4 linked regions of the Drosophila melanogaster genome follow. The protein of the gene in region 2 interacts with the protein of the main gene of each other region in a pairwise test. Each region holds a gene or a part of one and is shown on either strand. Other genes may lie near its edges.

Evidence for each region.
Region 1: the proteins of CG5111 (region 2) and Atf-2 interact in a two-hybrid assay, tested with the Drosophila melanogaster proteins (one large-scale study listed by BioGRID).
Region 3: the proteins of CG5111 (region 2) and Cpr72Ea interact in a two-hybrid assay, tested with the Drosophila melanogaster proteins (one large-scale study listed by BioGRID).
Region 4: the proteins of CG5111 (region 2) and crn interact in a two-hybrid assay, tested with the Drosophila melanogaster proteins (one large-scale study listed by BioGRID).

What each region holds. Positions count from the first base shown.
Region 1 is NT_033778.4:24,868,160-24,872,013, forward strand, and holds Atf-2 (activating transcription factor-2), read left to right. Parts: upstream 1-1,948; 5' UTR 1,949-2,050; coding exon 2,051-3,086; intron 3,087-3,139; coding exon 3,140-3,249; 3' UTR 3,250-3,330; downstream 3,331-3,854. Other genes in the region: CG16896 (uncharacterized protein), read right to left, coding at 3,331-3,486, 3,550-3,854.
Region 2 is NT_033777.3:25,504,513-25,508,816, forward strand, and holds CG5111 (uncharacterized protein), read left to right. Parts: upstream 1-1,762; 5' UTR 1,763-1,851; coding exon 1,852-3,696; 3' UTR 3,697-3,767; downstream 3,768-4,304. Other genes in the region: CG5107 (uncharacterized protein), read left to right, coding at 705-767, 828-1,406.
Region 3 is NT_037436.4:16,360,587-16,364,292, reverse strand, and holds Cpr72Ea (cuticular protein 72Ea), read right to left. Parts: upstream 1,691-3,706; 5' UTR 1,644-1,690; coding exon 618-1,643; 3' UTR 543-617; downstream 1-542.
Region 4 is NC_004354.4:2,247,035-2,251,569, reverse strand, and holds crn (crooked neck), read left to right. Parts: upstream 1-1,586; 5' UTR 1,587-1,706; coding exon 1,707-1,742; intron 1,743-1,800; coding exon 1,801-3,873; 3' UTR 3,874-3,976; downstream 3,977-4,535. Other genes in the region: CG3191 (uncharacterized protein), read left to right, coding at 216-375, 476-557, 621-923, 990-1,126, 1,183-1,264; Or2a (odorant receptor 2a), read right to left, coding at 4,076-4,126, 4,197-4,535. UniProt on the Drosophila melanogaster protein: May be involved in pre-mRNA splicing process. Involved in embryonic neurogenesis and cell rearrangement during Malpighian tubule morphogenesis.

The sequences.
Region 1 (3,854 bases), on a different chromosome or scaffold from region 2:
GCGGAAAATAAACAAGACCGTTTTGTCTCCCGGAGGAACCCCAAATGAGGCAGCCAAACTTAATAAATTATATGCAAAACTGCCGCTGGGGAAATGGCAAACCAACAAAGTGTCCAAATGGCAGCGGGAAAGCCAACTTGCAGCAGGGGAAAACAAATGTTGGGCGTTCGAGGAACTCCGTTTTTGAATATTTATGAAAGGACAGTGTGATCCTCTGAGCTGGATACCAGCCGGATCCTGTAGGCCGCACATGCCGTTATGGCCAATTGCGGTCCTTGACTCCTTTGCAAATTTCCTAGGGCCAGAAACCTGATCATCAAGTTGGTAACCAACGCTAGGGTCATGCCAAACGTGTCTTTGCTAAAATGGAATGGTTAATCTGGTCAAGTCTTAAATACCAATGTATCACTATGAGGACTGCTATACCTTTATATTACATATTTTTCAAATAAAATTCAAGTTCTTATGGAACTTATTCAAACATTTGTTCTCAAGCTTTACTTTAGCCTGATCGCAAGCTATTCCAAGTTTGGAAAAAAATTTTGTGCACTCAGCCACTTGATCCTAACCACAGAGACCGACGGACAGTAAGAAAAATGGCGAGGTTGCAGTGCGATGATGGAAAGGATGTGGCGGTGGGGCAGGAAAAGGAGCTGATGGGTATGGATACTTTGAATGCGGGCAAGAGAGAGATGTTCATCGGAACGCATGTTCTTTGAAAATTGCCCATAATTATGCGAACGAACTTCAAACTGATTGTTTCTACCGGCAGCAGCGCAGTCCGAGAAACGAGAATCCAGAGCCGAGGATCGGAACCCATCTCCATCCCATAGCTCCATGGACCATGGACCACGCTGTCCGAAAAACGCGCGTCCGTTGCATGCAACGTGGCAGGGATGGGATGGAATGGGATGGGATGGGATCGAGATCGGGACATGGCCAAGGGTATGGCTGTGTGGAATAGCCCGCTTGGCTGCAGTGAAAGAGAATGACTGTAATTACGCATCACTTTTTCTTAATTTTCATGCTGTGCATCTTGCGGCCCTTCCTCCTCGCAAACGGAGCGGATTGGAGTGGTGGTGAACAACGAGGACGAGGGCCGGAAGGGGTCCTCCATCTTCTCGCTGGGAACAATTTAAGCACTGAACTTGACCCACAAGTCGAGTCTGCTGCTTTTTGTGCGGCAGAGTTTTAGAAAATTGCTCGTTTCGTTGCGTGCATATTTCCCAAAATGCGAGCGGCTTGAAATCATTTTGCGTGTTGTTTTGTCCGCTGTCTGTTTTCTGCTTGTTCCTCCAATGAGAAATCTAATTTAAAAGATACAAATTTTAAATTATGGGGTTTTCTTGGCTACCAAAAATGTTTCGATGTTTTTTCTTCGCTTTACCTTCCTCTTCTTCACATATGATTGCTTCTACGTGCCGAAGACTCGCATTTTGGCATTTTGGATGCGATGGCAGATACGCAATTTCGTTGCGGAAATGCCGAATGTCAAGAGTGGTTGCATAACAGCTTCAAACACAGAAAGGCTAGGAATAATAAGGGTCTCATGACAGAGGGGTATTTTTTACACACAGTATTTATTGGTAACCAGATTCAAATTGAAAACATTCGCGCGCCTTTTTTGCACCCACTCGCGGTATCGATATATCGGTTTGCACACATCACTACTGTGCTAAGGTAAACAACATATAAAATATACATTATATCGAGGTTTGAAAATTCCTTTACTTATTTTGTTACACAATGAAGATTATTCAGTATTTATTTGATTTATTTTAAGTTCTACGTTATGATCTTTGTTCTACCAGTAATAAAATACATTTTACATCGTAATTACGGCAGAAGAACTTAGTACCTTTTCCAGCACTGCAGCCAGAGTTGGTTTCTTAATGGAGTCCGATAGGTTCAATAACACATCCATACATCGATAACAATTTTATTTTTTGTTTTGCTAATGTGATTTACAAAATAGTTGTTTTAATTGAGAATTGTCGGCAGATTATGGAGTTTGATTTGTAAATAGCATGATTTTGATGTAACTTCTGACATGGACACCGCCGGAGACATGGATCACCTGGCCAGTGTGTCCTTCGGCGACTTTGAGACAAAATCCCCAGAGGGCGACGTATCCTGCTATCAGAACTTTCGGGCACAGACGGAACATGTTTCGCTAGACATTTCTCTCGGGCAGAAGTCAGACACTCTATTTGCCGCCGACCAAACGCCCACGCCTACGCGACTCATCAAGAACTGCGACGAGGTGGGTCTCTTCGAGGACCTGCAGCACGTAAATCCATTTGACATTGGATTCCAGCAAGCAGCGGAGCGAAATGTCAGCGGCACTCCGAGTCGCCCAGAGGCTCGACCCAATGACGGTGAGTCCCTGCACACGCCCCAGGTGTATCCCGTCGAGGCCCCCACCGTGGTATCAGTTCCGTCTGAAAATCAGGTCCCACAAAGTGTCAGCTGCGGCGATATGGATGTGGACCAGCTTCTGGCCACGACAGTTACCTCGCCTTCCAAAGCCAGTCAAGATGGTCCGCCGCCGCTGCAGTTGATCCAGCCCCAGGTCCTAACATGGGTGCTGCCTGCGCAGTCAGTTCCCATTTCCATCGCTACAGTTGATTGTAACAGAAACAGGGTGAAGCCGACTGGTGCCATTCATCCCTTCATACTGCCGAAACCCACTGCGAAAGAATTAAACAAGACCAGTAAAAGACCCGAGCCTATTTTGGTCAGTTGCAACCCACCTAATAACGAGCCCAGTAGCGCCAGTCTGACGCCCACCTCACAGCTGCCCATCAAGGAGCGATTGAAGGCCATTATCCACAGCAATAATAACAGACGAAGTTTCTCCACACCGCCCAAGGCTGCGAAAGCAAAGGATCGCAGTCGGGACGAGGATTGTATGGAGCGACGAAGAGCAGCAGCCTCTCGTTACCGTAACAAGATGCGAAACGAGCATAAGGACCTCATCAAACAGAACGCCCAGCTGCAGCAGGAGAATCAAGAACTGCACGAAAGAATTTCCAGATTAGAAAAGGAACTGCAGCAGCACAGGAGTCACAGCAGCTTAGCTGGCGGTAAGCTTTAATAAACCATTCCTGAAGTTAAGTTAATTTATTTTCGTTTATAGTGGTGGCCGACCAGCTGCGGATTCCACCATCCAGTATACACTTGCTCATCAATGTGCCCAACGTGTTAGTGCCTTCGTCCGCCAGCAACGCAAGCGCGGCCAAGAAATAACCAATATGCCTTGTTTATTTATTTTCTAGTGCCATGTACATAATCCTAGCCTTGTAGTTTATTCGTACAAAAAAGCCTCAGTTAAGTTAAATTCCTTCTGTACTCCAATGTTTTGTCTGTGGTTATGATTTCCGTAAACTCTCTCTGTATCTCAAAAATGGAATTCTCGATATCCACCAGCTGGGGACTAAATTGCACAGATGATGTTGCTGGAGTTCGCAGCTGTTCCATGGTCATCTGTTCGGAAGAAAGTAGACTTAGGAGATCACAGAATACAATCTAAAATCTTTTATCACATACATCACGCAAGTTTTTCTGCAGCTGATCACGCTGATAGCAAAGTTTCTGGATTTTGTCGTAATACTTCTGTGCCAGTGGAGCACCCTCCGTATCCGAGTAGTAGCGCTGGGCAAGGAGCTCCATCTCCTGGTTACGAATTTCATCTTCGGCCAGCTGCATTTCTTGGTTGTGACGCCGACGCTCACGCTCAATACTGTGCATCAGCAGGTCCATGTCCTTCTCCATCTCCAGAATTTTGCGTCGCTGCTCAGACTCCTGTAACTTAGTGATGACCTCGCTCTTGCGCCGACGCACCTCCATTTGGT
Region 2 (4,304 bases):
TAGCCGGAAACTTTCTTTTGTATGTTGGAAATGTCTTGGACCTGGTGGCAGTGTCTTATTTTCCACACACCCCTAGTGGGAGTTATTAACCCTTAACCACACGTTACCATTTATAACCCGAACAAAGTGAACCGAGCGCGTTAAGCTGACAATGGCAACAAATTTTTTTCCTTTTGCCGTCTATTGTGCCCGGAAAATCTGGTGGCAGCCACCATTCAATTGTGGTTCTTTTCCTCTTTGTCTGCGGTTTATGGCTTTTAATTCGTTCTGAGCCTCGATTCTTAAGGGTGCCCAAGTGAATTTCGCACTGACATCAACGGATATTGTGTGATAATTGCCACAAGAAAAATATTCGACATTTTTAGAGCGTACATTTCGTTTGCATTTAAATGGGAAAATTAATTAATCATTTCAGATTTGTATTCATTTAAAACACTTCAATTGAGCAATATGAAAATTAACCGATCGAAAATGTATATTTTAAGTATCTTAAGTGGCTGATAAGTGCTGATAGATAGATACATATAAGTACTTTTGAGGTAGGTAGATTGATTACACATTTCTAGATGATAGCCGTATAAAAAAAAGGTATTAGATAGTTGGAGTGGGCAATTCGATTAATTTCTGATAAGACGTAGTTTTCAGCGGGTATATAAACTGATCTTCACTACTGGCCGAGAAAATATTATTAATTGGACAGTAAAATGAAAGCCATCACCGTTTGCCTTTTGGTTCTGGTTTCGGCCACCTGTCTGCTGACCACGCGGGTAAGATTTGCCAATTAAAAAAAAATTAACTTAAATATAATAAATATTTCTTTGTTTCAGGCCAATGCAATAGAATTGCTGGAGAACGAGAACTTCGACTATGATTTCGACTTTGAATCGGAATTGGAGCAGTTGCTGGATGAACTGGACAATGACACTGACTACATGGATGTGGAGGCACAGGGCTTTATTAGAACATGCCTTAAAATCCTTCGCAAGGCATTGAAAACGGTTCGAGGCACCAACTGTATTATCAAGGAGGTGACAAACATCCTTAGTTCATGCACCAGCTATGTGGATGCTATTGATGCCTGTGGCACTGCCATTCCCAAGGATGTGGCCAAGATTGTGGACTCCGTTAAGGAGATTATCAAAATCTGCGACGATATTTTGCATCTGCATTCGAAACTTTGTGCCACGGATAAGTCCGTGGGCTCGTCCATCAAAAACTCGGCCAAATGCTTCTGGAAATTGTTCAAGGCATCCATGAGGCTGACCCGAAAGATCAATAAAACCCTAAAACTGATTGCCAAATTGCCAGCCGATACCAGTTCCTGCTTCGTAAATGCCACCAATAAAGTTACAGCGTCCTTTAACTCTTTTCTGCCCAACATTGATGTCTGCATCGAGTCTATGTAAATATATTATTATTAAAAAATAAAAAACTCTTAAGCTTACAGCAGATTAGATTTCAATTCTCGAGCCTTTGTTCCCAACAACCTATGAACAATAATATAGTGATTTGATTGAAAATAAATTTTGTTTCATTATGATAAGATAACTTCAATTTCCAACTATGAGCCGAACTGAAGCGATTCGATTAAGATTCGTTAATAAATACAATCGGTATCTAGAGAGGGTTCTTGAACAGCTTTATACTGATATGGAAAATTAATTGTAATTAATTATAAATTGCAATTAAAGGGATTTAACTTACGTCTCTGAATTTATAATAATTTAGCATTTTTTAGCATTTAGCAAAAACAGATGTTAAGGTAACACTGAAAGAGCACTGTCAGAGTTGAAAATGTTCGTCATAAATTTAGAAATTATTTAGTTCGATTCGGGCACGACAGCACGAAACATGTCCCAGATAAACAATATATTCATTAAGCTGCGAGCTCGTCTGCGGGAGCGTGATATCAAGTTGTGGGAGGAGCCGTACTACTTCGAGGAGGTGGGCAGCATCGAGTCGGAGATGGACCGCCTGGCCAGGGACATCAGTGGCGAACTGGGCATCAGTGTGTCGGACTGCAGAATTGCCTTGGGCGAATTGCAAGATGGTGCCTTGCGGAAGCTGGCGGCTCGCCGAGAGTTCAATGACACCGGATTGGCCACGTTCAATGTGCGGTGTGTGGACAGCAAGGGTGGCACCGTGCAAATGCTGGAGATCAAGTGTTCGCTGGGTGGACTGGGCTCGGATCTGCAAGCTGAGGTGGCCAAGAAGTTGGATATCGTTGATTCCAGTCATGTGAAATGCATCTCCGGAGGACGCATCATCAATGGGCAGAAGACACTGGCCTCGCAGGGGCTCAAAACCAATCAGCACCTCATGGTGGTTGTGGGTGGAACTAATGAAGGTCAGGAGTTGCACGAACGTATCCAAAGGATTCGTGCGGACTTGGAGTTAGTTGCGGATGCAGATCGCTTTATGGAAATGGAGGATCAGGATGGACGTCCAATTTTCTTGCCACGCGAGGAAAATCGATCCCTATTGATGGCCATGAGCATGTACGAAGTGGCCAGAGTTGCCATGCATAAGGAGAACTTCGATGAGGCTCTACTCATCCTACTCGAGGCCGATGAACTCTTCTCCCAATGTGACTCAAAGCTCCTGGAAGGAGTGGATAACTATGCCTTAATCAATCTAGATATTGTTTGGTGCTATCTGCGCCTGAAGAACATCACCCAACTGCCAGATGCACAGCGACGTTTGGATATTTGCGAGAGGGGCTTTGTCAAGAGCTATGGCGAGCAGTTCATTCGATTGTTCTCGATTAAGGGTCCAAGTAGCCCGGAAAGAGCTTTGATCATGAGACTGCACCTGCTCCAAGGTGTGCTCCTCTTTCACCAAAATCGCCGGGATGAGGCCTACGAAAAACTGGAGGTGGCGACAAAGGACTTGTATGAGGTCAAGATGAATGACACTGAGCTAAGCACTCTCGTTGAAATGGGCTATGAGGAATCGGATGCCAGGTTGGCCTTGAGATCCTGTGCGGGCCAAGTGGATAGGGCCATTCAATATATCCAGGAACGCAGCGAGAGAATCAGTGAGGAGCGAAAGAACTCGGCTGCCGAGAGGCAAGTCAACCAAGAGATGATTTTCGCCGGTCAAGGAGGAGAATGGGTCAATCCACGCAGCATTATTAGGCTCATGGAAATGGGCTACGAAAGGCGTTTGGTTGTGGAGGCTCTGAAGAGGACCAAAAATAATCTCGATCGCAGTTTGGATCTACTGCAGCGTCATTCAGATGAACTTAGGGCCAATCTGCCGCCCATTCCTCCTGTCGATGAATCGTTACTTACTACTCTACAGCACCTTGGATTTTCGGAGATTTCCGCTCGAGATGCTTTGGAAACTACGGGCAACAGTTTCCATAAATCTCTGAAATTTCTATTGAAAAGTTTCCCCAACGAATCGGAATTACTTCATGTTATTGAAACCATGACAAAAGTTTTGGAGGTTCAAGAACCTACGAGCTCAACTAATGCGACTGCAAATAGCACCACCCCACTCGTAAACTTATCCAACAGCAAGGTGAACTTGCTCCAGACTGTCCTTAGCGAGGCCAAGTCGGAGATTGAGTCTTACAATGCCTTCAAGAGATTCAACGAGAACCTCGCCGAGAACAACAACCACTACTTAAACTTGCCCTTGGATCAGGAGGAGCAAATTCTGATCGAGTATAAACGTTTGCTCGAGGGCTAATAAGAAAAAAATAAGATTTTTTTTAAATATTTGTAAATCAAAAAACAGGCAATAAATAAGTACGTACAAATATTTATTGTTGCTTTGTTATATTTTTAACATCTTTTCTCACCATGTTACCATTTCATTTCACAGCCATTCCACTATAGTCTGAATGGTACCTTTTTGTGGCCAAAATTAATAACATAACAGCTAGTCAATTAAATAAAAAAAAAATAAAAAAAATCCAGCTTATAGTGCGTCCCTTCAAAAACTCAAATACTTATTGCCCAGCAAAGTATGCTATGCATTTTGGTTGCTGATGTGGCTGCTGCTATTTGCTCACTCATGTGCATAACGTCACAGTTTTTCACAATTTTGTGTATGTGTGTGTGTGCGCGTGCTCTTTGCGTGTGGCTGACTTTGTGAAAATTAATAAGTTTTCAGACCCTCTCGCCAATCTGCCAATGCCATGCGAAAGTTCTGCAGATGATGGCCAAATAATTTGTCGTCCTGTTTTGTGGCGTTATTTCCAAATCGTTAAACCTAAAATAAACTCCGCTCAGCTTATTTCACTCTTCCATTTCTTTCTTCATTTCGTGTTTTTTTTTTTTCGGTTTACGTTGATT
Region 3 (3,706 bases), on a different chromosome or scaffold from region 2:
GTGTCATACTTATTGGTCATTTGTTTCTCTCAGTGTGAGCTGCAAATCATCCGGATAGGGGTCAAGGAACCGGGTGGGGCTATAGGACACGCCGGCTACCAATTCCAGTTTTAGTTATTTAGGTTGTTGCCTTTGCCGTTGTTTATGCTGCTATTAAATTTAATTGAAATCAAAATTCGGCCCACATTTATGAAGAGTTTATGCTGCACATATGTGGAATGTGATCGGTGGGTCGGGGGGCCAAAAGGTTGAGGTAGGACAGGGTCCGAGTGAACGTGTTCCGTGAGTCCAGGAGTTGGGCAGCTAAAGGGTTCAGTTCAGCCGGATCTTGAACTTTAGGTGTCGCGAGTTTAGTTATGATTATATTCAAATAAAGATACAAATGTTAAAACTAGAAATTATAAAGAAATTTGTTGATTGAAGAATAATTTTAGAAAGAATACTTAGAAAGAATATATTTCGAACAAATATTGTGTTACCAAAATGAATTTGCTAAAAATTTCTTTATATTATCCCATTACCACTTCAAAAGAAACGTTGCAGACTGATTGACAATTTTTTAATTTAAATTCGAAATTCTTAAATAATGAACCAAATCGTGCGAATTCAGCTGCCATTCAATAGTAAAATCCGGGGGTGTAGTACCTGGGAATGGTGTAGCCGTAGACCGGAGCAGGAACCACGACATGGTGGCTGCGAGCCACAGCAACTGGAATCTTGGCCAGCACCTGGTTGCGCACGCCTTCATCGTGGACGCGTTGAAGATGAAGCGACTTGGCCGCAGCCACTTCTGCGGTATCAGAAACGGGATGAGGCAATTGGGAGTGGCCACCATGGGATCCGGATGGGTCTGAGCCAGAAACCGGGTGCTCGTGGTGTTCGATAGAATGGGGCACCTCTGGATGAGCACTTCGACCGCTCTCAACGACAGTGTGATGATGAGGAACCTCAACGGGATGGTTGCCAACAGGATGCTGAGCTACAGCAACGGGGTGCTCATGGTGCTCGACGGGATGATGTCCATCTGGATGAGCACTTCGGCCGGTTTCGACAACAGTGTGATGATGTGGAACTTCCACGGGATGATGGCCAACAGGATGCTGAGCTACAGCAACGCGGTGCTCGTGGTGCTCGACGGGATGATGTCCATCTGGATGAGCACTTCGTCCGCTTTCAACAACAGTGTGATGATGTGGAACTTCAATGGGATGGTGGCCAACAGGATGCTGAACTACAGCATGCGACACCTCCGCGTGATGCTCAACATGGTGGTCTACTGGATGCGACGCGCTCCTGGGACTAAATTCTAGCGACTCCTGGGGAACTTTAGCCTTTGGCAGATTAGTGGCTGCCACATGGAAACCTTTGTTGTCGGCCACATAGTTAACCGTTTGCAGCTTTCCCGCCGCATCCCGGTAACTATAGTATCCTTGGGTGATTCCGTCTAGGGTGCGGGTCTCCTGTTTGCTGGACAATGGTTCCGAATAGCCATAGGAGTACTGACCCAACTCATCCTTGGCGATATACTGGCGCTGGGTGGGCGTGAACACGGCGGATCCCTCGGCAGTGTACGCATAGGGATAGTACAAGGCCAGTCCGTGGGCCAAGCTGAGGCTTCCTAACAGCAGAAGTGGATACTTCATGGTTGGGCAGTGGAAGATTGCTTCGAGTGAGTCTTGTTCGTCAGTTCACTGGTAACTGTTGATTCTGAGCCTAGGTCTTCATCCTTTTATACCCAGCAGGTTCTTTCGCGAGTTCTAGGTTCTGGTTCTGGCTGAGGTTCCTGCCGGTCAGATGCTTCTATTCTGATACACTGCGAAAAAATTCTAAAAGTATGCCATATTATTATCTAAGAGAGTATACAAATGTTTTATGCTCTTTTACCCTAATATAGTAACGTGATTTTTATGACTTAAATTAAATCCAAAAATAAGTAGTTCGTAATTTGTTTAATAATGATTTGTACAAAGCTTAAAACATAAATTTAAATGCATATAAATAATAATATTGCTAAAAAAGACTGTTCTTAAATTCCTGAAATTTTAATTTTATGATTATGACAATCATTAAAAAAATATTTTATTATTGATAAAAAAGGTGGTTTATTGTACTTAAATAGAATTCATCAAATTTGTACAAGCACACGTATTTCATTAAAGAATAACCTAATAGTAATAATATCTGTCACATTTTAAAATAGTAAACAGCCAATTAATTTTTTCTCCAAATGTATCCATCAGATGCACTTCAATGCAAACGAGGAGATGCGAATGCGTCGTCGTGTCCACTTGTGTCGTTAACGGACATTGCAGCTCCGCCTTTCACTCCCCTTTTGGGGATCGACGCCTCGTGAAGGCGTTGTCAATTTGGTTTAATTGTGGCCAAGGCTGGAGTGGGCCCAAATGAGGGAGGCAGACCCTGGTTCTCCGCAGCGGGAGGAGCAATCGCTGCCTGGCATCTCCATCTGCATCTGCATCTGGATCTGCAAGCGAGCCAAGGGCCTTGGCTGGGTGGACCATCAAGGCCAAAGACCGCATCCAGACCAGCGTGTAATTGATATGCAATCGTTGTTGCTGCCACAGCATTGTGGCATCTCAGCCTCCTTTTTGTTCGCACACTGCAACGGGGCCACGACAACAACAGCAACTTCAACTGCAACAGCAAATGCAACAACTGTGGCAACAACCGACGACGACAACAACGGCATCTCAAGGTGAGTGAAGGCCAAGGGCCACATTTGGCCACAGCTTGGACACGGGAGTCATGCACTCCAGTGGCGAACAAAATGGGGGTCTTAGGGGGGTCATAAGTACCCTTAAAAATTATAATACTTGGTTAGATACATATGTATGTACATAAGAAATATATGTTTTATGCGAAGAGCTTACAAATATGACACAGAAAAGGGTTAATTAAATCGTTAAGTCCGCTAAATAAATAATATAATGTGAATTTTTAGACACCTTATAGTATACACTGAAGATATATACTTATTTCAACCGGACACTAAGAAAACCCCCTAAGAATATGTTTCCCATCCGCCTCTGATGCACTGCAGCTGCATTGGTATCTCCTGTTCCTCCTTCGCTGGTCATTTTTATTTTTAGCAGCGGGCTTATCGGATGCCTCAGATCTCTGGTGCTTAAACTTCGCTCCCGATTAGGAGGAGGAGGAGGAGCAACTGCAAGAACCACATTGGATTGGCCTTGACGGCTCGGCTGATAAGTGCGTTTTAATGTTAGCCCCGTTGGCACTCAGTTTCAATCAAAGCCCAATTCTCTACAACCATTCCAGCCTGGCTTAATGAGCTGGTTAGTTCTGGCCTGGAATTGAAGTTGGATTGGCAATATAGTCCGGTCCACTTGGTTCACTCCCTTTGTTCTGTCTCGAGTGGACTGTGCCCTGATTTGTGTACCACCATTGGTTCTTTGAACTGCCTTCGTGGCTAATTAAAGGTGCACTTAAGATAGGCCAGGTGGCAAGAATCATGTTTTTCATTTTTCAGGACTGGGAGTACTTTGATTTTATGTCCTAGAAAAAAAGAGCAAACGAATCAGTCTAAAAGGTATTTCAGCTGTAAAACATTCCATAAATATAGGAAATTTAACTCTTTCTAATTTTAATTAAAGAATATTCTAAACGTCATCTGGTCAATAAACTAAATGAATATTGTAGAATGAAATATTTAAATTACATATCAAACATT
Region 4 (4,535 bases), on a different chromosome or scaffold from region 2:
AGTAGGCCGCTCCGCTCGCCGCCTTACGTCACTGTAGTCAATTGTATACAAACAGTGAATGTACAGGCAAGTCTCCCTAAATCGAACCGCACTTCCCAATTCAATATGTCCAACACGATGTTTGAATTAATTAATATTCCCGTAATGTGCAAAGTTCCATGGGCTTAACTCCTTAGCAAAAACTTCATTGTATCGTACCATATGTGTATTAACAGATCCGCTGCTGCTCCGGCGCTTCTACCAGTGCATGTTTGGAGACGTGGAGGAGACTCGGAAGCTCATCGAGGTGAACTACGCCCTGCGCAACCGGCACCCTCACCTGTTTATCAAGAGGGATCCTCTAGACGCGGACAGCAAGCGCACCTTTGACTACGCGTAAGTGTGTCCTTATTGGGAGAAAAGATTCCCTTTCCTTTGAGGCAGGGCCATGTTCCAAAAACATACATACCCGTATACCCCAACACTCGAATTTCAGAGACATTCTACCGCTGCCTGGCCTAACGCCGGACAAATGCAAGGTGTCGCTGTACTGCTTTCGGGAGTTCGAGGCCTCCAAGGTGAGTAATAGCTTCTCTTTGCTGTAGGAACTTGCGCTCCATACCGCCGATTGCTATCCCCAGATGCACCACACGGAGGACACGCGCGCCTTCTTTATGGTCAGCGACTGCCGGTTCGTGACGCCGGACGATCTCGCCAAACCGGATGTCCTGTCCGAAGGAGAGGTGCAGATATTCGACATGAAGGGCACCACAATGCGGCACATTTCGCGGCTGACGATCAGCACGCTGCGCGCCTACATCAAGTTCCTCCAGCTGGCATTTCCGGTGCGCCTGCGCGCCATTCACATGATTAACTGTCCAACTTACCTGGATCGGATCGTCAGCGTGGTGAAGCCGTTCATCAGCGACGAGGTCTTCAAGCTGGTGGGTTTCTTGAGAAGCCATTATGTCTCTAATAGCTTCATCTCACCATTACTTTCTACACTTTAGATCCGTTTCCACACGCAAAGCATAAATACGCTGTACGAGTTCGTGCCGCGGGAGATGCTGCCGGAGGAGTACGGCGGAGGAGCCGGGTCCTTAGAAGCACTGCGGACCCATACCCAAAAGGCCTTGGTTGAGCATCGGTGGGTTTCGATCTGCATGTTATAGTTATTCAGTAACGCCTCGTTGCCTTTTGTAGCGACTATCTGATGGACCCCGATCACTGGGTGGTGGTGAAGCCGGAGAAGCGGAACGAGAGTTCGTGGAGATTTTTCAAATGATTACCTAGAACATCTTCCACGGTAGCAAGGAGTCTCCTTCAACTGAAGACGGTTAAAAGTGTTTCAAGTGTATTGGGATAAACAGTTCCTGTGGCTTTTCATCTCTTAAATATCCATTTTTTTTTTAAATTTGTGTTGAAATTGCTCAAAAATAAATAAGTAAAAAATGCGTTATCCGTTTTATTTTTAACCCAACAATGTACAATTATTATACTAGTATATATTTATGGAAATACAACAAAAAAAGGGATTTAATTGAAACACACATTCAAAAGTAGAATGCGCAAAAGGCCAGTGGAGACAAAAAGCGATTATCGATAGCGAACTATCGAAATATGCCTATCGTTATCGCACGACGTTGTTAGTGGCATTATTTATTTTGTTGCGATTTAGCGTTTTTCCAACATAACATTGCTAAGTGAGGGACCCCGAATCGCACAGCATGGAGCGGCCACAGAAGATGCCCAAGGTGGCCAAGGTATGTGCCATCGTCGGCAATCCACCAAACCAACTTATCCAATCCAAAATTTCACCAGGTCAAAAACAAAGCGCCGGCGGAGGTGCAAATTACGGCGGAGCAGTTGCTCCGTGAGGCCAAGGAGCGAGATCTGGAGATTCTGCCGCCGCCGCCAAAGCAGAAGATCTCCGATCCCGCCGAGTTGGCAGACTATCAGCAGCGGAAGCGAAAGACCTTCGAGGACAATCTCCGCAAGAACCGCATGGTAGTCAGCCATTGGATCAAATATGCTCAGTGGGAGGAGCAGCAGCAGGAGATCCAGCGGGCGCGCTCTATCTGGGAGCGGGCGTTGGACAATGAGCACCGGAACGTGACCCTCTGGCTGAAATACGCCGAGATGGAGATGAAGAACAAGCAGGTGAATCATGCTCGCAATCTGTGGGATCGGGCAGTGACCATCATGCCGCGAGTCAACCAGTTCTGGTACAAGTACACCTACATGGAGGAGATGCTGGAGAATGTGGCAGGGGCGCGACAGGTGTTCGAGCGCTGGATGGAGTGGCAACCGGAGGAGCAGGCCTGGCAGACCTACGTCAACTTCGAGCTGCGCTACAAGGAGATCGACCGGGCACGGGAGATCTACGAGCGATTTGTCTATGTGCACCCGGACGTGAAGAACTGGATAAAGTTCGCCCGCTTTGAGGAGTCTCATGGGTTTATCCACGGCTCTCGGCGGGTATTTGAGCGCGCTGTGGAGTTCTTTGGTGACGACTACATCGAGGAGCGCCTGTTCATCGCCTTTGCACGTTTCGAGGAGGGTCAAAAGGAGCACGACAGGGCGCGCATCATCTACAAGTACGCTTTAGATCACCTACCTAAAGATCGCACACAGGAGCTGTTCAAGGCCTATACGAAACACGAGAAAAAGTACGGCGACAGAGCGGGTATTGAGGATGTGATTGTTTCCAAGCGCAAGTACCAGTACGAGCAGGAGGTGGCCGCCAATCCCACCAACTACGATGCCTGGTTCGACTATTTGCGCTTGATTGAGGCTGAGGGCGATCGGGATCAGATCCGTGAGACGTACGAACGGGCCATTTCCAACGTGCCGCCTGCCAATGAAAAGAACTTCTGGCGACGCTACATTTACCTTTGGATCAATTATGCTTTGTACGAGGAGCTTGAAGCGGAGGACGCGGAACGCACGCGGCAGATCTACAAGACCTGTCTGGAGCTAATACCTCACAAGCAGTTCACCTTCAGCAAGCTTTGGCTGCTGTACGCCCAATTCGAGATCCGCTGCAAGGAGCTGCAGCGAGCACGCAAAGCTCTGGGCTTGGCCATCGGCATGTGTCCCAGAGATAAGCTCTTCAGAGGCTATATTGATCTGGAGATTCAGTTGCGTGAGTTCGAGCGCTGCCGCATGCTGTACGAGAAGTTCCTGGAGTTTGGACCGGAGAATTGTGTCACTTGGATGAAGTTTGCCGAGCTGGAGAATCTGTTGGGCGACACGGACCGGGCGAGAGCCATTTTCGAGCTGGCGGTGCAGCAGCCGCGCCTGGACATGCCAGAGCTGCTGTGGAAGGCGTACATCGACTTCGAGGTAGCCCTAGGCGAAACAGAGCTAGCCAGACAGCTTTACGAGCGACTCCTTGAGCGGACGCAGCATGTGAAAGTGTGGATGTCGTTTGCCAAGTTCGAGATGGGCCTCAGCCACGGCGACAGCGGGCCAGATGCGGAGCTGAACGTGCAGCTGGCAAGGAGAATCTATGAGCGAGCCAACGAGATGTTGCGTCAGCTGGGAGACAAGGAGTCGCGTGTTCTGTTGCTAGAGGCATGGCGCGACTTTGAACGCGACGCCTCCGATTCGCAGGAGATGCAAAAGGTAATGGACAAGATGCCGCGGCGCATCAAGAAGCGGCAAAAGATCGTCTCGGACAATGGCGTCGAGGAAGGTTGGGAGGAGGTATTCGACTACATCTTTCCCGAGGACGAAATGGCTCGACCCAATCTCAAGTTGCTGGCTGCAGCTAAGATGTGGAAGACACAAAAAGACAACACGGTGGACGACCCGCCCGCTACAGCTATTGCATCTGAGCCAGAACCTGCAGCTGATGCTGCCCCAGCGGATACGACGGATAGCGGTGACTGATTCACTTCCGCCTAAAAATCGTTGCTTTTGAACAAAGCTAAATATCTGAAATTGCAGATTTTTCGCTTTATTTTTGGATACCTTAGTAATAAACCACTTAAATAAAAAACTATAATGATCTTTTTTTTTGTTATATTATCTGATATATTTTTCTGCTATTGTGCTTTAAAATTTTTCTCCCCAAAAAGAGATTATAAAGTTCTTACTTGGCCCTCAGCAAGAGTGTGAAAACAGAGTATGTGAACCTCATGACCTGGAATCAAGTGAATCATATCATATTTGAATCAAATCAAAGGACATTTGAATATATAATTGTGCCTTGCCTGCTCGAAGGTCTCCAGCGAGAGTGCGATGTAGTTGCCTGCGTAGATAAGAGAAGGCCGCTGCGTCCTGGCCAGGGTGAAGAGCAGTTCGCGCTTGAACTTGGGCAGCTGTTCTATCCAGTTGCAATCGTAGAAGGCATCGCACAGCGCCTCGCTCTGTGTCCGCATCCTGTCCCCAAAATAGCAGATTACAAACACCTCCAAGGTGACGGCCGAGAAAAATACAATCGAGATGATCATGGCGGTGTGGTCGTGGTCATCCGCTACGTACAGGAAGTGCATGGCGACGGTACACTGGACGGCGGCGGAGCAGACGAACTGGGCCATGCAGGGCACTGA